Linked DNA regions of Daphnia pulex. The protein of the gene in region 2 interacts with the protein of the main gene of each other region in a pairwise test. Links are inferred from orthologs where the notes say so. Each region holds a gene or a part of one and is shown on either strand. Other genes may lie near its edges.

Evidence for each region.
Region 1: the proteins of homeotic protein ultrabithorax-like (region 2) and fork head domain transcription factor slp2-like interact in a protein complementation assay, tested with the Drosophila melanogaster proteins (2 studies listed by BioGRID). The link is inferred for Daphnia pulex from reciprocal best matches to the Drosophila melanogaster genes Ubx and slp2.

The regions. Positions count from the first base shown.
Region 1 is NC_060021.1:10,365,593-10,376,071, forward strand, and holds fork head domain transcription factor slp2-like, read right to left. Parts: upstream 5,619-10,479; 5' UTR 5,223-5,618; coding exon 3,618-5,222; 3' UTR 3,075-3,617; downstream 1-3,074. UniProt on the Drosophila melanogaster protein: Transcription factor involved in segmentation. May function primarily as a segment polarity gene. Different levels of slp activity seem to be required in different segments.
Region 2 is NC_060024.1:12,330,957-12,341,393, reverse strand, and holds the start of homeotic protein ultrabithorax-like, read right to left. Parts: upstream 4,957-10,437; 5' UTR 4,197-4,956; intron 1-4,196. UniProt on the Drosophila melanogaster protein: Sequence-specific transcription factor which is part of a developmental regulatory system that provides cells with specific positional identities on the anterior-posterior axis. Binds the consensus region 5'-TTAAT[GT][GA]-3'.

The DNA of each region.
Region 1 (10,479 bases), on a different chromosome or scaffold from region 2:
AAATGCCCATCGGGACCAAACAAATGGACCTCCCAATCAGGAAATGGGCTATCGGAAAACCTGGCCAGCAGCAGAGTGTCCGTGCACGATTGTGCGGACGCGGACATACTCTCCCATTAATTATTTGAACGAAAAAAAATAGTAATAATAAGTCGGGGTTTTTTCTCGTTGTTTTATATTTTATTTTATTTATTTATTTGTTTGTTTTATTTGTTTTTTCTTCTTCCAGGGTTTTTAATATTTTTTCCCTGCCCATGTTTTGTTTCTTTTATTTTCTTTCGTGAACACCAGCAAGCCGGTGAACCTGCACGCGCGTTTCTGCAATTAAGTGACCGAGTACGCCGGACCGGAGAGATAGAGAGAGAGACCCATAGAAGCGCGGTCCGAATCCAAATGCGGTTAAGGCATTCCTCCTTTTATTTTATTTTATTTTTCTTGTGTGTGTTTCTTTCTTTCTTTCTGGGTTTTTTTTTTTGTCTTGTTTGTTCTTTTTAATGGATGGTATCCATTGAGAATTTACGGCAACACCGGAATGAGTATATGGTCAATAACCAATTGGCGTGGATTATAACCGCCGGGGTAATAAAAATACACGCACACAACAGCAGCCAACAGCCAGCGAAAGAGAAACGAAATAACACACACGTACGTACGTACGTACACACTTGTAGAAATGAGAAACAAAAGGTGAAAAAAATAAATAAATCGCCGTTGGAGGTGGACGTTGGATTCCATCGTTGGATGGTGTACTGGCGGCCATTTACTTGCACGCAAGGTGTAGAGTACACAAACGATGAATGCAGCTTAGCTAATAGAAAGGGGGGCTGGTTATACTATTACGTGTATCATCGAGTCGGTGAACTGGATAAAAAGCCGCGCTTCCGGATGGATGGGAAACGGCCGACATCGTTATCCTCGTTATTCCCGAATGTTTTGCATATTCCCAGTTGACACTGGGAACAAATTTTGACGGGGAAAAGAATTGGGAACAACAACAACAACAACAGAAAAAAAGGGAACGGCAATTGGTTGGTTAAGAAAACTCAGCTGCAGTTCTCTCTCCTCATTTGGATGCGGCCATTTCCTTTTCTATTCCGAGTTGATTATTATCCCGGGCCAATTGTTGTTGTTGTTGTTGTTGTCGCTGTCGGCCATGCACAGAGAGAGAAAGAGCATCGCCGTCCATACAATTCCCTTCAAAAGGACAAATAATAGCGAAGCTTACAAATAATCCAAAATGAATCGAGGCGGAGATGATGGAACAACCCCAAAAGAGAAAATCAAAATGTACAATTGCCCGGCTCCTTTTCTATCTCTTCCAACACATTCATTTTTTTTAATATTTTGGGTTGTTGTATTATATTTTAAATAATATTTTTTCTCTCTCTTATTTTCCAGGCTGCTGGCGTATAAGAGAATGAACATAAGGAAAAAATAAAAGAACTGAAAAGAAAAAGAGAATGAGAGAGGAAATATATAGAGCCTCCCCCGGTGGGAGGACGACCGACGAGGGCACTTGTTGCCTGGCAGAGAAAAAAAAAAGTCAAATAACAAAAGAAATACCCGAAGAAAAAATATAAAAAAATATATATTTGTACATAAGAATTGTGGTGTGGTGAACGGGCCAGACAGCTTGGCACCGGCAGAGTGTGTGTGTGGATTCCCGCGCCGCCCCGATGGCAAAACTTCTTCACACACAAGCACCACCAAACATATAAGAGTGTCGAGGGAGAACCAACAACATGTGAAGAAGGTGGGAGAAAGAAAAAAAAAGGAGGTGGTTGGTGGTTGTGTGAGGAGAGCCCCACCAGCCTATATCTATCTACACCTCTCTACCTACTACCTACTGCCTAACGTCTACACATATTCGACTATAACCCTCACGGTGGGGCGTCCGTTGTGTTGCGCGCTGGCCCTCTGTGTAACATCATTAGCGTTTTTCATTAAATCTGTCGACTTGTTGCTGCCAGCCATTTTCCCCTACCCTACCGCTTTTTATATCGACTTGATACACCTCAACTATACACACTAGTGCGGGTAATACAGTTGGGGAAAAGAAAAAAAAGACAATTTTGATATTATAATAATTATTATAAGCTTCGATGAATGATTCGCGGGGTCGCAAGTTTTCTTCCGGGTGTTATGGATCTATGGGCCAACTATACACGTCAAATAGAAAAAGAAAAGATTTGATCAAGGAGGTCGGGTGATGAGAGAAATGGACGCACCGAGTGGCTGCCAGCATCACAGCATCTCTCTCTTTTTTAATATCTTTCTCCTACCATGTATCTGACTCGCTTTTGGGTCTGCTTTATACACTTTAACAGTCACTTAATCATCCTGTTTTTCTTCTTCTTATATGGCTGCTGCTGCTGCTGCTGGATCTCTTCTAAAATGGATGGAATAAGCGGCCTCTGGTGTTGTTCAACAACAAGCCGACTGGGAATTGTCCGAATAAGCCATCAAACTCCGAAATCTTGTTCTTGATGAGAGAGAGATAGTGTACCGGCCGATGAATAAGAAAACAAAAATAAAAATAAAAAATATACGTACGCGTTGGTTTGAACTCGACTTGAGAGAGATAGGAGTTCTCCTGCTGCTGCTGCTGCTGCCATCCTTCCCATAATCTCGATGAAGACGGGTTTATATATGTGTATATTCCTCTTTTGACTCGATCCGCCCAGCAGCAGCAGCAGCCGACGCTATAAATTATCTCTTAATCAATGTCCTGGCACACCTTTTGGTGTAGTACAACATAACCAGATCCCCCCCTTAACACCTCATCATCTTCTTCTCTCTTTCGGCCCAGGCAATTAGCCTACTGTGCACGAGATTGGAAGACATGCCACTATGCCGCCCACGGGCCAGCAAGCACTCTCGGCCGTCGGTAATCATTTCATCAAAGCTGCAAGTCTCATCATCATCTTCCATGGCTTCCGTTGAAATAACCAACTTGAAAAAAATTAAAAAATTTCTAAACTCGATTGGAATTCCTTTGAAACGGCACAACCCCCAACGATTCAGTTTAAAAGTTGAAATGAAATAAAGTAAACTCAAAAGACGTTTGGATTTTAGTTTGTTTTTTCAACACGCTTTGTAATTGATCTGAGATGACACGCATATCCATTTGTTTGGGGAGAGGGAGGAGTTTGAATGAATAATATCGTTATAAATTATGTACAAGTACAGTGGCAACTGAATAGGTAGACTCTATCAACTTTGTCTTTGCAAATACGTACAGGAGACACACACACAGACGCGAGGGAGCACATTTACTTGCATTTCTCAAATATAACATTGAACTCGGGGATATAATAATAGAACTGGTTCAAGACGCGGAAACCATATAATTCAAGAGTTTGGTTTGATAATTAGGATGAAGAGGTGAGGAGAGATTGGAGAGCAGACTCGAATTGAATTAGCCATTCGGATCAAGACTTTGATCTTCTTGAATAGGAGACGCAATTCAATGTACAAAAATGGACAGGAAGTAGCTCGAACCCAGCCATCCGGTATTACATATGTATAAGTTAACCAAGACCGCAAGCGGCCAAGTCAATTATGTGTGTGTCAACTGGGTCATTTTGGTGATGTCCGTCGCGTCATGACGGATTTTTCTAGCTGGTCCTGGAGATCAATGGCGGCGAGGTGGGAGTGGCGGCCAGCGGTGAGGTCGAGCTGGAACGGGCTAACTGCTGCTGCTGCTGCTGGGGAGAGACGGACGGTGGTAGGCCCATGCCCATCAGTCCCGTGTTGAAACGGAGGTGATGGCCCTGGCCGTAAAAATCGGCGTAGGCGGCCGCCTGTTGCAACAGCGGATGGCCTAGCATGCCGAAAGGCGAGCTGCCCATGGCCTGCTGCGAGCTGGGCGGCATGGCCGAGTGGCGGACGGGCGAGTCGGAAGTGGCCGAGCCCAGCAGCCGCTCAACCGAGAAGCTGTGCGCCGGGTGGTGGTGGTGGTGAGCTGGCGGAGTCGAGACGATCGAGCCCATCTTGTTGTTGCCGGCCAACGGCGAGCTGAAGCCGCCGCCCAGAGCTGTTGGCACTTGCGACGGATGGTGGGCCGACGGATGGCTGCCCGGATGGGCCAGGAGATTGCCGTAGCCGGCCGAGGCCGCGTAACCCACCGCCGTGCTATAGCGATACAAAGCGGCCGCCGAATTGCAGAGCGAAGCGGCCAGACCGGGCCAGGCTCCCGTCGGCGTCGAGTAAGGATGATGCGGATGCTGGCCTACCGATCCCGGATGATGGGCCGAATTGGGAGCCACCGGGTGGAATCCAGCGGCGGCCGCCATGCCGGGATGGACGGGCGGCATGCCAGGGAAGCCGGCCAACGACGGGAAACCGAAACTGCGCTTGAAAGCGGCCAATCGGGACCTGGAAGCTGCGGTGGATCTCCTGCGCAATTTGCCGGTGGTGCCACCGATGAAGACGTCGTCGCTGGACGGATCGAGCATCCAGTAGTTGCCCTTGCCCGGGTCGTCGTAGTGGCGTGGCACCTTGACGAAGCACTTGTTGAGCGACAAATTGTGGCGGATGGAATTCTGCCAGCCCTGCTTGTTGTCCCGGTAATACGGAAAGTTCTTCATGATGAACTCGTAGATGCCGTTGAGGGTCAGACGCTTTTCGGCGCTGCTCCGGATGGCCATCATGATCAGGGCGTTGTAGGAGAACGGAGGCTTCTCATTCTTCTTGGACTTTTCGTCTTGGCCGTCCTTTTTATTGCTGCTGGAACTCTTGCTGGACGTCTTGGTCGGCCCATCCGCACATTCTTCGTCGCCCGTTTCACCTTTGACGCCCTTGTGGCTCTTGCTGGACGGCTTGTCGGCTTTGTTGTTGCCTCCGCCTCCGCTGCTCAGGTTGATGGTGCTGGACGACTCTGAGGAGCAGTTGAGATCCTTGAGACTGGCCTCCTCTTCGCTCTCGTCGGAGCGCAACGGACTGACGGCCTCCATGCCCTCGACGTCCAGGTCCTGCTCCTCGTCGGTGTAGACGTCGTCCACTTCGCTGTTGTCACTGTACACGTTCTCCTTCATGGCCGTCGAGGAGGTGGACGAGTCGGGCCGGTGCTGCTGCTGTTGCTGGTGGTGCAGGTACGGGGCCGTCTCGTGGTGACGGTGGTGGACGGCCGTTTCCGGCAGGAGAGACAAAATGGAGAAGGACGGCGGAGCGCGGGCCATGGCCGGTTGTGGCAGAGATTGGGGGCCCTCCACTTTGACCATCTTACCACTGCTGCTGCCCGTCGTCGTCGTCGTCCTGGGAGTGCTGGGATCAGAAGCCAGTTCGAGAAGCGAGTCCAGCGTTTCGCTAACGGCCTTTGCTGCCTCTCGATGCTGGACACAAAATTCAATAACGATGGCACTTTTGCTGTTGAAAAAAACTAAACTTGGTCGCAAGTTCACACTTGTAGTCTGGGCAGAGATGCGAATGTGACGGACAGCTGTCAGTTATTAATAACAACCCGAATTGACGGATGGCAACAACAACAACTGGCCAAAATTTGAGATAAAGGTCAATAGTTGACAACTGCTGAGAGAGAGGAAATAAAAACCAAAACTTTGCTGGGCAACGAAACAAGAAGAGTACGTCTGTCCTGATCAGCGCTGGCTAGCCGAATAATGTCCACACCACAGATGGGCTCCCAGTTTTAATGTTTGGCCAGGTGGGCGGGACCTAAAGTTCTTTTTTGGTGGGGCTGGTTGTGTGTTGTTGGTCTTTGGCCAGGGTCGTCTTTAAGACTCGCCCCCCTTTTCGTTCTCGCTGGATGGAAGGAGACCATTCCGGCGGCCGGTCCGGCTCCTCCCACCATCATGGCAGCCGCCAATGAAGCTCCGGCTGGGGGCGGAGCGTTCGCTCGAACGGAAAGGGGAGGTTCCCTGTTTTATTTTTATTTTATTTTCTGGTTTGTTCCCACAGATGCGGAGGAGAGAGAAAAATTGCTGGGCCGTCGCCCGTCGGGGTATGTACAGGAAAAATAAGAGCCCCCCGACGTGAAACATCTTCATACTCTTATTGTTGTTGTCTACACACACACACTGTGTGTATACGTGTATAGACGCGTTAGAAAGCTCCATGTTCCAGGACACACCTCCCTCCCCTCGTTTACACTTTCCATCCATCCATCCATCCATCCTTGCTCCTATACGTGTTTTTGTTGTGTGGCTATTTTATCCTATCCATAGTGTACACATTCAGACGTCTCTATACTTGGCACGGCTATAGATGCGGAGTAGGTGTACACACACACATTTGGCTCTCCTCTATGCCGTACAACATTGACAAATATTTTCTAATATTTTGAGACGAGGTTCCAACGGCATTTTCCACTCGGTTTCCCAGAGGTTTTTTTTGTATTTGTATTTTTCTTTCTTTTGACTTTTTTCTCTCTCCCCATCATTCTTATAAATCCCATCAGTGCGATCAAAGCTGGATGCCTTTTCAGATTTTTATTTTTATTTTGTTAAGTTGGCGTCAATTGTCTTATGACTTTGAAATTGAATGAATGACGTGTCTGTATTCCGTTTGAACTTTCGGCATCAATTGGCATCGTTTCGTCAATTGCACAGCTGGAAAAACAGAAATAAATAAATCAAGAGAATAGAAAATGATTGTGAGCTGGAGAATGAAACTGGAACCGGTTAAACCGACGGGCGCCCTTTCACGTTGATTGTTGAGTCGAATTAAAAGTGTTGGAGAGAAAAGAGCCAGTGGTGGAAAAGAATTGGATTTTTTTCCTTTTTTCTTTCTCACATGGCCGACTCACAGTCCCCCCACCCTTGACTTATTTAATTTAATTAAACTAAAACTTATTTCCTCAACTTATTCCCTTGTCGTTTTTAAGCAGTTTGGATTTTGATTTTTGATCATAAAATTCTAATTACTAATCGATATTTTATTATCGTAAGCATGACTAATTAGAATAAAATTCGTCTGCTCTTGTTGAGTTGAAAATTTCGGGAAGACAAAGCAGAGACAAAGTTTAAGCATGGTTCAAGATTTCTTTTAGAGCCTATATTTCTTTTTGATAACTGTTATACTCCGTGCTGTTAAGCGGGTAAAAAATACTAAGAATACTATTACAATGATTGTGGAAGCTATAGAAGAGATAAACCAGTTCCAAATTTGTTAATTGTTAGTTCTGACTAGCATTTGCCATGTGATTGCCCTGTTGATGCATGGCAGTTTGTTGTACTATGTAACCCTTTTTTCTTTTTTTACAGATTTGAGACCAGAGCCATCATGACTACACAATTTGCAAGTTTTTCTTGGGCAGGTATTGGCAACCTGTCACCAGCAACAATCTCAGGTTAATCGATTGGGTAATGATTTTCGTTACTTTTTCCTGTGACCTGCCACATATTTGAATGATGCATGACTTGCATCAATGCAGTGTGTTAAATTTAAACCTTAAATTCTTCCATTTATTAACAATCAAGGTTTACCCATCAGTGTTTCATTTTCATCTTTACCTGACTTGTTGTTTCAATATTTATTCGTAACCCATTTTTTATTTTTCATTCAGATAAACAGCATCCCCTTCAATTGGAGAAACGTCCGTTGTCAATTGAGTTATGGATCTCTCTAACTCTTTCTTCAAAATGTGTTGTGTACGCCCATGTGAATGTGGGTGTATTCACGAGGGACACCCTTTTTACCCTATCCCGTCTGGTGTCATTTAACTCTTCATCGGATGGATGGAGCAACTGAAGTAGATGCCTGGCTGTATTTCCCAGGCACAAAGGTAGGAGACAAAATTGATCTCTATTTTTCTTTTTTGGCGGTTTTTGGTGGGGTTGGTTATAAATCGTTACGTAGTCACAGACTATGTTTCTTCCTGAGCTATAGGCGGTTGACTCTTGACTGCAACTGTTTTCTCTCCGTTTTTGTTTTTTTTCTCAGTCAGGGTTCACTAAAAATCTCATTAGTCGAACGACTGCAGATCAGGCTTGTTTTGTTTTGTACCTCACAACTTTTTCTGTGGGTAGAAAACCATCACATTTGAAAATATTTGAATTTTAAACACTTGAAGGAAAGTGCAATGTTCAAAACAATTTTTTTACCGAGAGGAGCCTGCCGCCACACCGGTACCTCCTCATTTTTTATTCCCGTGCATATTCCCATACATCCACAAGATATAAAATGCATGTTGAAGTGATCATCTCGGCGGAGGAAATCATGCATCCGCTTTGTGTGAGCTCAAAACTCTCCCTCTTGTATTATAGTTGGCTCGGTGTGTGCTGGCCGATTTGTCCTTGTGACAAACCGCAGGCCGAATAATAAAAAGAAAAAAGAGGGTAGACACACACACACACATAGACTATAGAAAATAGAAGAAGAAGAAAAAAAAGCATAATGGCGGAAATTCATCGTCCCCTAAAGGTTCTTGGATATGCAGCAGGGGGTTTTTATATAAATGTCCTGGTGTGTTTTTGATTCCAGCTTTTTTGTTGTGGAAGGTACACACACATATACATATACTAGCTCTCTCTCTATGTTGTGTGTACGTGTATTTTTTTGTCCCTGGTCTGAGGGTGCTGAAGCATGCAACCATATTGCAACCCCCTTTTTTCTGTCCTTTTTTCTTTCGTTGCACAAATTCTACAGGCCCGCCGATAAGAATGGAGGATTAAACGTTGTTTAGTCTGCTGTACACATATCCTGGCCAATGAAGATCTGGTTCCGTTTTTCCCTACTGTTTTTTCCCCCATATATATAGTCTACTGTACACGGTGTTTGTTCACTTTGTATTGAATAAGCGCTGACTCTGTGACTCTGATCTGCCCAGTAGCCGGCCATATTGCGTATGTATGTAGTATACAGACGGATACTGGTGGTAGAGAGTCCCTTGGTTCGCATGGTTGACTCTTCTTTTGATATGAGTACAAGTCAACCCCGCAGTTGGGGTTATTATACACATCCGCACCGAGATGTGGAGAAGAGAGAAGAAGGAAGAAGTTGAAAAGAAGAGGTCCTCTTCTTCTTCTTCTTCTGATTTTTGTCTGAATGGTTTTTCTTCTTCCAGGTCAGAAACCACGCGGCGTGTACAAACGACGCTGCCATTGTCGCCCTATACACACAGTTGTGTTCACTCGTGAGATCTTTTTTTCTCTTTTTTGATTCTCTGCTCGTTCCACTCGCGCGCACGCAGGAGAAGAGACGGACAGAGAGAAGCTCAAATCGGCCTAGATCACTTGACTGTTGTTGTGTGTGTATACGGCCACTCTCCTTTTTGTCCCCTACTGGAACTCGTTCAATTGTTGTCCGATTATATTCTCCTCTTTTGCAGTGCTGCTCAGCACAGCTCGCTGAATGTTTGAGGCCTTTTGCCGGAATCAAAAGAAGATTGATTTCTCTACTATTGGATGATGGCTTCCTCTCTTTTTTGAACCCCCAGTTTTTATTCTGTCGACCCCCCTTCAATGTCTATATTTGCTATAAGTTGAAAATTCTTACAGCTCTATATATTCATGGCTGGTCGCTCTGCTCTGTGTTCACACTTATGCCGGCCAGTCAGTTTGACGATGGATCTGAATGGATTTCCGCCCTGGTCAAAATTTAAAAATATAACGACCCGGACTTTTCCAAGTCATAAACAAATTCACATTACATAGTATGATGGGCGTGATAAATCCTTTGGAAAAGTCGTGCGCGTCTAAGATTTGAATCGATTATTAGAAGGCGGATATTATCACAACTGGACGTTTCAGTTCAAATGTCTCCATCTCAAAGTTTGGTCCCCTTTTCTGATAGTCATCTCGACCAGTGTGTGTCAGCTGTTTACCAACGTCTAAACTATACACACACACAGACACAATGTCTTGATGTAGATCCTCCACTAAGGCTATCGTTTTTCAATTTCACCGACACTGCGCTACTCAAGAGAAAAAGACGTTCTCTCCGCTTTTTGCCGCTGAGGTTCAAACGAGTGACAACTCCAACAGAGTCAACCCAGAAAGAAAAACCAGTGGATAGGAAGAGCCAGCAGCTGATTAAACGATGTGACGGTTTTTGGGATAGAGCAGCATCACCAAAAGGGGGGCGCGGTCTTCTTTCTTTCTTTCCCCAGTTGGTGTGTGTTTGTCTCTTGGTGAAACGCGATCTAATCTTCTTCCAGCTATAGCCCGTATGCATAAATATATTCGTTTTTCTTCACACGGAGCTGTGGTATGGTGGTGGTCAGCCAGTAGTCAGATGAAATAGAAACATACACGCCACACTATGTGTGTATAGAGCTTCTAGAGAAAGATAGGCGTGACTCTTGTTAGTCATTCCTGTTTCTCCTCCAGCAGCAGCCAACTCGTCTTTCCATACATGACACGCAAACTAATGTTTGCTGGGGCCCAGCAGCCAGCCTCAGCTTATTCTCTTGTTCTCCCAAAAGTCATTCGGTCCGCAGCTCAGATAAATACAAAGACAAACGCTTGTGGTGCTGTCAATCTTTCTCGCAGTGAGGAATAGCGTCGCTCCCAGAAAGGCGAA
Region 2 (10,437 bases):
TGGCGTGCAATCGCGTCGTTGAGAGACTATGAAAGCGGATCGCTTCATTACGCGCTTGCTACTTCATTTACGAAAAAAAGAAGAAAAAAGGGCGCACAAACAACACGGAAATTACAAACTAAAATTCTCCCGAGTGGGAGAAAATGATAACATAGGAGGCGATAATGTCTTCTTTTTCTTGTTGGCCAGCTTTGGCTCCTCGGGTCAGTTTGTCTTTGAGTTTATTTTTTATTTATTTATTTTTTCGGGGTTCCTTGTGTCTAAAGAAATTCGACGAATTTTGTTGTTTTCGTAATAAAGGAGGAGGGTGGTCATTTCGTGAGTACCCGCCTACCGGCGCTCGATTCCCCATCGATTCCGGGCTCGGCTCGTTCTTTTTTTTTATGATTGTGTTGATAATGATGATGATTATTATCATTGTTATTATTATTTGTCTCGTTGTGCGCGCGCGTTTTTTTTTTTTTTTTTAACTTCTTCTTCTTCTTCTTGCTCCGCCGACCGTTTTTCTTCTTATTCCTTTATATGGAGCCTTAATGACTCTATTAAAAAAATAAAAAAAGAGCTTCGGCAGTGGAGTATATATCCACCGGTGTGTGTACAAACAACTCAGGCGGCCAGTCGAGTAACAATGCCGCCACATATACACCTATATACCTATAAAAAAAAACGCACGCGGCCGTACCCAGTGTAAGAGGGGGGTAGGGTTATATCCATGAGTAACTTAACCGTGCAATGATTTTCAACCGTCATGGTCTCTCACTCAGTGTAAGCTGTGTAGTATAGATGCCTTTAATTTCTCTATGCGCCGGGTTCGGTTGATTTAGTTCTTGCGTCATCCATCCAATTTTTTTTTTTTTTCAAGAGAGAGAGAGAGTAAACTGATTGTGAATAAATCACTTTTTGGGGTTCATCCAATCAAAATCTCAAAAAAAGAAAGAAAAAGGGAGTTGTTTTTCCCCCCTTTGGGAACAGACAAGAAGAAGAAGCATCTGCTATGGAGAGAGAGAATACCAGCTAAGAAATTTCTTCTTCTCTCGTAGAAGAAGAAGAAGAAAAAATTATTCATTTTCTATTCAGTCGGGACTTGAGTGTGTCTGCATGTTTGTTAGCTGGCGTGGTGATTTATTGCGGTCGAGCACAGCGCGCGTTTTCTTTTCTAAATTCATAGAGGATGTGTGTGTGTGTGTATATATATAGGCCGTGCCAGCAGCAGAATCTCTTCTTGGCTCTCTTCTTCTTCTTCTTTTCGGGCCAACACGGCGAAAAAAGAAAAAGAAAAATGCTGGGCGGCAGCGGCGGCGGCGGCGGCTTCTCGGCGGCCATTACTGCTGCCGTTATCCCTCTTTTTATTGGCTGCGCTATTGCCGGCGATGGGCGGAGCTTTGACGTGCAGAGCCTCGACACTATAGCGAAAGGGACCCCCTATTTTGTTGGCTCTCCCATGTCAAGGGTGTTCTGGAAAGGGAGGATCGAAAATAGGCCTATAGGTATCCTACTTCTCTGATAGCAGTATAACTTTGTATATTAGACTATTATGCGCACTCTAGAATCTGAGCGAGCTTATAAATAAATGAATAGGCAGCAGACCTGTGTTTGTGTCCCAGACTCGAGGATGAAGGATTTTTTCCCTTTTTTGACAATCTCTTTCGTCCTTGAGTCCTTTGGCGCTCATGAGAGTACCTCACCGACTCTCGCTCAGGACACAATCAGACGCAACTTCTCGGTTCAATCGAAGGGAGGCCATAAAAAAAACAAAAGCCGATAGCTAGTAAAACAATTTGAAATTAGAGTTACAAGGTATCCCCTCTATCCAAGATAGTTTATATCGATGACCACCTTTTATTTTTTCGAAGGGGGTCACAACCTTAAAACGAATAACCTTTCCATATAGCGCCCGGCACTTTTGTTTTTTTCCTGTCCAAATCTTGTAAATTTTTGTCTCATGACTTTTCTTTTTTTTTTTTAAAACAAAATGATGTGAATCCTTGAATAAATATAGATTTTCCCAGTTTGAGCCTACGGTGATGTCTACAAAAGTATTTCACTTTGTGTTATGGCAGTCATCCAAAGTGCTACTACACTACTACTGTACGTCGTCGCCGTCGTCTTCTTGATTTGCTGCCAGCAGCATCCGATAGATCGCCCTAGCTCTTCTTCTTCTTTCTCTTCCGACTCCTTCCTCTGTTTCTTTCGACTTGGGAAATATTTATGGAGACAAGGAAACCATCCGTAGTTATATCTGCGGAACGGAACTCTCGTCTTCTGCCTTCTACTCGGCTCCCATAGCTATGGGACTCTTGTTTTTTTTTCTTTTCTATTTTCCGCGTGTCCCGGCAGCTTCACGCAGCCCTGATCACGGCCCCCGCAATTCATTATATTTTATGTATTTAGTATACGGCCTATTATTATTATGATTATGATTATTATGATTTCAGTTTGACGTTATGTATAACATTTTCCAGATAGCATATCCCCCCTCCCGACCTCACGCGCCGGATGTGAGGAACTATACAAGAAGAAGAAGAATAAACAGTGCAGTCATTGAGAGCTAGCGAGCTTCGGCGGAAATGGTAGAAATAGTAGGCCACTAGCAAGTATATATCCCAACTGTACACATGTGTAGTTATGGGCTGGCTAGGCAGTAGCTATAAGATTTCTGTATTAGATGTCGTAGAGTAGACAAACACCACCACGTCGAAGCCACCGAACTGAAGAAGAAGAAGTCGACGACGCCCAGATAATTATCATGATTATATTCGTACGCTCTGAGTATATGTAGTATATATACGTACGTATGTATATACTGGAAGCATTAACACGCATATTTCTCTGGCTGTATGTATACTACTCGAGTATATATGCACATCGCGATGTGGATATACATTTCAGTCAACATGTATTTATTTATTTGGTCATTTAAATGAGAAGGAAAAAGAAAACACGGACTGTTGGGGCCGTGTGTGGGAAATGGAACCGCCGCCGCCGCCGTTGTGTAATGTTGTTACGAAACGCGACTTGTGCGTAAAGACGGCAAGAAATTGGGCAGCCAGCAGCAGCAGCAGCAGCTCTGACTAAATTACATATTACTGATATTTCTTATGCGTATAGAGAAGTGTAGGTTTTAGTATAGCCGTCGACGTTGCTGGGCGCTCTCTTTTCACTCTACTGGAGTCATTTTTGTTTGGTTTGGTTTTTTTCTTCTTCTCTTGCGGCCGCCGCTCCACCCCGTCCGGTCCTATATAACATTCACGCGGCATACTTGGCTTGACTTTGCGCGCCGCTGTGTCTGTGTTTGTCTGTTTGTGTGTCGTCTCTTCTCTAATCTACACACGTAATTTGGGCGTCGTGAGTCGACACCAACCGAAAGTCACTGGGAGAGAAGTTGGAGAAGAAAGGAAAGACGGGCAAAAAAATAAAAAGGGATAAATACTTCGTTATGCCGACGCTGGCTTCCCAAAAAAAAAACTCGCACCAATAGTCACGAACGGAGGAAGAAGAAGAGAAAAAAACAAAAACAAAAAAAAAACATCGACCGCAGTTTGTTTTCTTCGTTATTCCCCGGGAAAAAATAAAATAAAAAGTAAAACAATCATCAATACGCGTGTGCTGGCTTGCTGCTATTACCAAGAATGATTTATCCAAGTCGGTTTTTAGTAGGCTACATGTATGCGCAGACTAGATAGTATATCCTATACGGTGACCTTTAGGCCTATTTCGGTGAGGGGGGCTCCTAATGATCTTTCGAAGCGTTTCAGCGGTTATTCTCGATACCAACAAATTGAATCAACAAATATATAGTATATCGTTAGTTGACTTTTCGAGAGAGAGAAAATGGTGAAGAATGATAGGCCTGTAATGTGTTTTGGGGTAAACAGTTGGGCACAATTCGTCACAAAGTGCTTTTTAAAAGTTTTTTATTAGCCATTTGAACCGCCGCCTTTAGCGTTAGGCCTACAACTCCTGGGAGGCTCCTTGAACATCGCCGCCGAGTCCCTTTTAACTTTTAAAAACCACCCAAAAAATGTTTTTGAAAAATTTGTAACTGTGTTGAAATCGACGATCCAACTGCTGTTTTGAGAGTCAATCTATTGGTCGGTGCCAATCGCTCGGAGTTTGGCGATAAGGTTATTCGCTAATGTATGACTAGCGCGGGAAATTATTTTTTAAAAGGAGGATAAAAAGAACTGTGAACTCACCCAGGACTTTTTGCGGCTCTTAGTTGCGTTTTCTTTTGCCGAATCTCTTGTGGAAATGAAGCGATAAAATAAGGAGAAAGAGAGAAGAAGACGGCGGCGGAGCAGGAGGAGGGAGTAGTCGCGGTTTGCGTAATCCGTTGGCGTCGGGCGTGGAAATGGCCGTCCTTCGGCGTCGTCATCGGCCCGGCACTTTCCGCTCAACCAACAGACAGGAAACTCGCAATTTTCGACTCCTCTTTCTCTCTTTCTTTCTCTCTCTCTCGACTACCTCAACAATTTTTTCTTTTCTGGAGGCCTCGAAACACAGACACACACTCACACAACACACGCACGAAAAAAGGTAACAAGGTCCGCACTTGTGGGAGCCAGACGGATGGATGGATGGATGCCGATAATGATTGCGACGAAATATTTTCGGATGTCCAACGTTGTTGTTTTTTGTTGGGTTTTTTCTAGTTGCACCTGAACGATCACCAACTCACTGACTGGGTTATATATTGAGACTAGCTATTAACTAACTACTGTGTCGTCAAGCGCTGCTGGACGGACAGCGCTCCACTGTCTGCGAGTCCATCAGATGGACGGAATGGGCAACGAAACTTTTTTTCGATCGGGTTTTGACTTTGATTTTTTTGAAGGACAATGTCTCTGTGATCGAGCTGCTCAAAACATTGTGATCGGTCAAGCCTCAGAGTCGGAACTGATGTGATTGTGAGAAGGACATGCCACGGCCGATCAAGGAGGAGTCGCTCAAGAATGTGGCGTGTCCTTTTTTCTATTTCTTCTTCCAGTTCTTCTTCTGGTGGGGAAAGTTATACAAAGATGCTGGAGATGTTATTGGGGTTATACTCCGAAGGAAATTGTTACAGCCGTTCTTTTTTTTATAACCCCCTCTTTCCAGCTAGAGAAGTTTTTACCCCCTCGTCTTCGGCTGTGTGAGTCTGTGACGGTTATATTGCGAAGAATTGGGGGGTCAGTCGGGTGTTGCGTCGGAAGAAAAACGGGTGATATCGGGGGGGACCTCTTGCATAGCCACACGGATAGGATAGATGTATATATACGTGTATAAAAGGGTCGAAGGACACACAGAGTCAAAGAAGGGATATGCATTTTTTACGACTCTTTGGCTTCTTTGCTCTTCTCCGCGTTTTATTGGGAAGAGGAGGATGCCCACCCCAAATAAAAATTGGCCAGGGCCTATATGGTGTGTGTGTGTATGCGCACTATGTGTGTGTGTGTATGTGCCGGTTGCGCCCAACCCATGGTTGTTTTTTCGGGGGGAGACCCAAGAGAAAAGAGATAAGGGTTACGTTTTAGAGCAGTTATCCGCCGCCAAGACTGTCCCTTTTCTTTCCTTCTTCTTCTTCTTCTTGCCTTCAATTTTTATGTTCCATCCTTCTCTTCTTTTTGGGGTTATATATATCCAGCGCAATACACAAGAAAGAAAAAAGGTTTCTTTCCCAATAACAGGAGAGATTGTATAACTCTTAAGGGAAGGCCCATAGGAATCCAATATATGAATATACCACCACCACTCTCTCTCTCGCTCTCTTGGTAGATTTTATACAAGGGGTTATATTGGTGGGGATCCGCTATCCAGCCCCCCCTTTTTTCAAACTCTTGTCGCTTTTCTAGGCCTAAAATATAAGACACGTAGTATTAAGCTTACACACAAAGTCTGCTGGATGTGTCGTCCCCCCTATTTTTTTTTACAACTTGGATTCGGCCTTCGAATACAGCCGGAGAGAGAGTTAAGAATTTGAGTTGAAACATTTTGGGAGGCCTACATAACCCGCACTGGTTATGTTTTATTTGATTTTTTTCAGTGCAGCAACTTTAATTTGAGGGGGAAGGAAAAACAAAATAATAAATATAGAAAGTAATCTATGACTCCTTGTATTTTCTCTTTTTTTTACAATTGCATCTTGTCATGCCAAAAGAAAATTCAAGACAATTACAAGTTACAATTGCTATCGCTGTATTTTTGTTTTTTTCTCTCTGCTTCGTGTCTTTCTCTCGTTGGGAAATGATGAACAGGAATGAGCTGCTGCCGTTATTTGTCAACCAATGCTGTGTGAAGGCCGTTGTTGTGTTGAATTGCCCGTTTGGATTGATGGATAAGTTCTTCTTGATTGTTGTGTGAGTTGAAAGAAAGAAAAAAAATAAATAAAACGTCCGTTTCTATAACAAAACCACCAAATGGGCAATAACAATATCAGCAATGGGCCATTTTCACAGCGGCAGGAGTTGTGTTGTTTGTCTATAAAACACATCGGATGTGATTCAGCAATCACGACGACGGCGACGGTGTAACCAAAACTAAAAGAAAAAAAAAGGAAACACAAACACAAAATAATCATCATCATAATAATAAAAAATGTGTGTGTGTGTGTGTGTGTGTTACACGCGTTTTCTATGGTGTGTCGAGAGCCGGCCGTGATATAGTCTGAGCCACTGCTAGAAGAGAAGAGATGGTTCTTTTTTTTCCGAGGGCTTTTGATGGCCTATTCGACTTGATGTTTATGCGCAATTCAATCAAGTTATTAGGGTCATTTTGATGAGGGCAGGCACCGTGCAAGTGTCTGTGTGTATATAAAGACTCGACGAAACGATCCTATCCCGAACGAGATACTTCAACACAGAAAAAAGCCCCCCGCTGCTGCTGCTGGATGTGTGTGTGTGTGTGTGTAACTTTGGCTGGCTCTTTTCTCTTCTTCTTCTTGTATGGTCGATGGCGTCATCATCATCATCTTTACGACGGTTCCCTTTTTTCTTCTTCTTCTTTCTTTTATCCCTTTTATTTTTCAAGCGCTACCGTTCGCCAAGGAATCAACGACTATGCTATTTAGAGTCATCACGGCGGCTGAAATGGACGCCATTACATTCAATATGTACACCGTCGTTTTATTTTATTTGCCGTTTGTTTTTTTATTATTATTATTCTTTTGCTTTTTACGTGTTGTTTTTTTTTGTTTATTTGTTTAGCCTCCCCTCTTAGAGCACAAGACCTCAAGTGGTCGTTGTGGCCAGTCTGTCACTTTATAGCGCACCGTTTTGTTTGTTTGTCTTTTGTTTTTCCTTTGGTTTTTAAGAAGTTGCAGAGCTTTAAAGATTACTGCCGCTAGACAAGTGTCTTATGGCGTGTGACGCAACACGGGGAGAGACAAATAAAATAAAAGTTTGAGTCACTCGAGAGAGGGGAAATAATCGTTAAAATTTTTTTTTGACTATTTCCAGTGAGAGAAAGAGGCGAAAATGAGCGCGAGCGGTGCGCGTTTTTATTTTGACAAGAGACGAGAAAACTTTGGTGTGTTCTGGTTTTTCTTTTCCCTCACTCACTCTCTCTCTCTCCCCAATTTATTTTTTATTTTATTTTCACGACTCTTGTATAACACCACCGCACCAGCAGAAGGAAGAAGAAGAAGCAGCAGCAGAAGCGGCGGAGTAAAAACCCAGTCAATATCATAAAAATCATCGTAAAAATAAAAATAAAACCGCCCCGAAATGGCTATTCTCCTTATAGTTTCTCATGTGTAGGCTGGATATAGTGGCTCTGGCTACTTCATGGAAATAGGCGATCGGTTATAGAGGGGGTTATAAGATGGGGGGCTCACTTCTAGGCCTATTCGCTTTTTATTGTTATATCCTTTTGGTTTTTTTGTGTTTCCAAATTGAAATTGTTTTTCTCGTTTTCACTTTTTCACACTCCTTTTTTTGGGGGGTTTAAAGTTGATCTATTCATCTCGACCGCACCTTGATGAAATACTGAAATGGCCGAGCTTTTAAGCTTCCAATTACCGTAGCGAATGAAATTTCAAAACAGTTTGAATGCGATTTCTTTTTGATTGAGTTTGTCCAATAATAATCATTTTATTTTCTTTTGTTTTTTAAAAGATTGTGGAATCCATTGGATGGAGCTGCTGGACTGAGAAAGCCGACGAAGGAACAACAATCGGCAGATGGTAAGTTCAAAATGCATTTTCATAAACGTGTTGTAGCTGTGGCAAGTATAGTGGTGTATAGCAAAAGTGCTTCCTCTCTCTTGTTGGTCGATTTACGAGCGCACAACAACAGGCAAAGAGATAATTCCTCTTGGTAGCGGAGCCGGCGGTTTTCTTCAGATAATGAAGCCAGCATACCGTCAGATGGATGGAGAGACAAAGAGATTAGCGACTTAAATTCCTCTATAAAACGTTAGTTGCTACTATCTCTACCTAAATAAATTACCAAAGGAGAAGAAGAAGAAAAGTTGTTTATATCTTTTTTCGGGTTTTTTCTCTTCTCCATTTTAAATTGAGACGTTTGGATGGGAACAAAATAAAGGGGGAAGGTTTAGTTCAAGGTTTGTGGATGGACCCTGCGGGGTTCATATCGGTTCATTGTCTTGCATCGGCGTCGTTATTTTCCTTCTCCTTCTTCTTTCACGATCACGCCGAAAGGGTCCAAAGTTAAGTTGCGATCACGAACTCTTTTTTGTTCCTCATTTTTTAAACGACGTGTGTCTTTTTTTCAGCTTTTGTTGTTGCTTCTGTCGCCCTCTTTAATGAGTAACTAGTTGGATGAAGCCATCCAACTTAAAGTTCCGTTCAACCCCTCTCAAACTGGCCCCCATCATCTTGGCTGATGAATGATGATGATGATTTTGTTGGCGGCCAGAAAAGAAAAAAAAAACGGGACCCAGTAATAATGAAGAGGTCGGAAAGAAGCGATTGGTTGCAAAACACAAAAGGGGACGGCGATGCTTTGCGCAGGTTTTTCTCTCTTGATAGTTTCATATTTTATTTTTTTTTTTTGAACCTCTTCGTTGCCAGCTTGTTATCAAGTCGATGGCCATATTTGGGTAGGGTTTGATTTATGCCCAGACGCGCGCGGACCCCGAAAAAAGACGAATAAGAAATACGCGCTAGACAGACAGAAAAGAAGAATAGGCAAGTGCACGAAACACAGACGCCTCCAGAGAGAGTCGAGTGAGAGAGATAGCGTGCAAGTCAAAAAGGAGAGTCTGTATTTTTCTTCTTTTCTTTTTTGTCCGCTCTTTTCCTTTTTTTTTCCCTCTGTAATATTCCCACCCGCTTATTTTCTTGTGTACAGCCACGCCCTGGCTCGTCGACACACTCGTAGGCCAGACCGTGGGAGGTAACTATACGTTCATAATGTCTTTATTTTCACCGATTCCAATTCAATTCCATTTAAGACGCGGAACGTCCTTCATCTTTTTTCTTTATTTCTGTAGCTCTGAAATGTTTCGGCTTTTATTTTTAGAATTCGGTCTTGATCGTTGTCGGGGTTGTAGGTAATTCCTTGACATATCCACCGATTGTATTACCTTGCGGTCGTGTGAAAAATGGTCTTGTATTCCTCCTTCTTTCCTTGGATGGAAAAAAAAAAGTAAATTTAAGGCGACCGACGAACAATTGGACTCGTAAACCAGTCGGACTTTTTTTTTTCTTCTTCTTCTTTTTTGGGTGAGGGCGCATGCACGTACACAAGCCGCAGCTGTGTGTGTGTGGATAGGATACAACATGCCCACATTTTCCTACTTGTGTTCGTATTTTTTTCTACTTTAACTCGCCACCGAGGGTATTTTTCTAGGTCCATTCTTTTTGTAAAATTTCGTTTTTCTTTTTTCCCCCCTGTCGCAACTCCTTTCCACTTTGGATAATGTAGGCCCCAAGATGAACGCACCCTACATGCGGTCGAATTCGTCACGAATATGTGAACCCGTTCCGACTATCTCTCTCGCCCCTCTCATCCATTTTGTGTGTGTGCGCACTTCTTTTATCTTTCGTCGATTCCATCCATCAATTCCCGACTTTGCCATATCTTTTTTTATATTTTTCCTTTATTTTGTTACCGCCGGCCTACTAACTTAACTGCTGTCCAAGGATCCCATTTGGTCTGTGGGCGAGTTCAATAATAACGATGTTATCTCGCTCCTTGCTCTGTAGTTTTCTTTGGCTGGACAGGCCTTCATCAAGCCAATGAAGTCATCGGTCGTATTTTATCCCTTTTTCAACCTAACTAAACAAAAGGAGAGCCAGTCCTGCGGGGCTGGCCAAAAAACTACTACCTCAGTCCATTTTGATAAAAGGTAGTCGGTCTCTCTTTCTCTCTTATCGGATGGATGGATATGTAACTTTTTTGAACGTCATAAGAACTGCGCTTTCGCACGTCATCATCCAGGTGAAACGAGATGATTGCAGTGCTGGGTTGCACCGACTGCGTGGCACCGAGCGTTTCC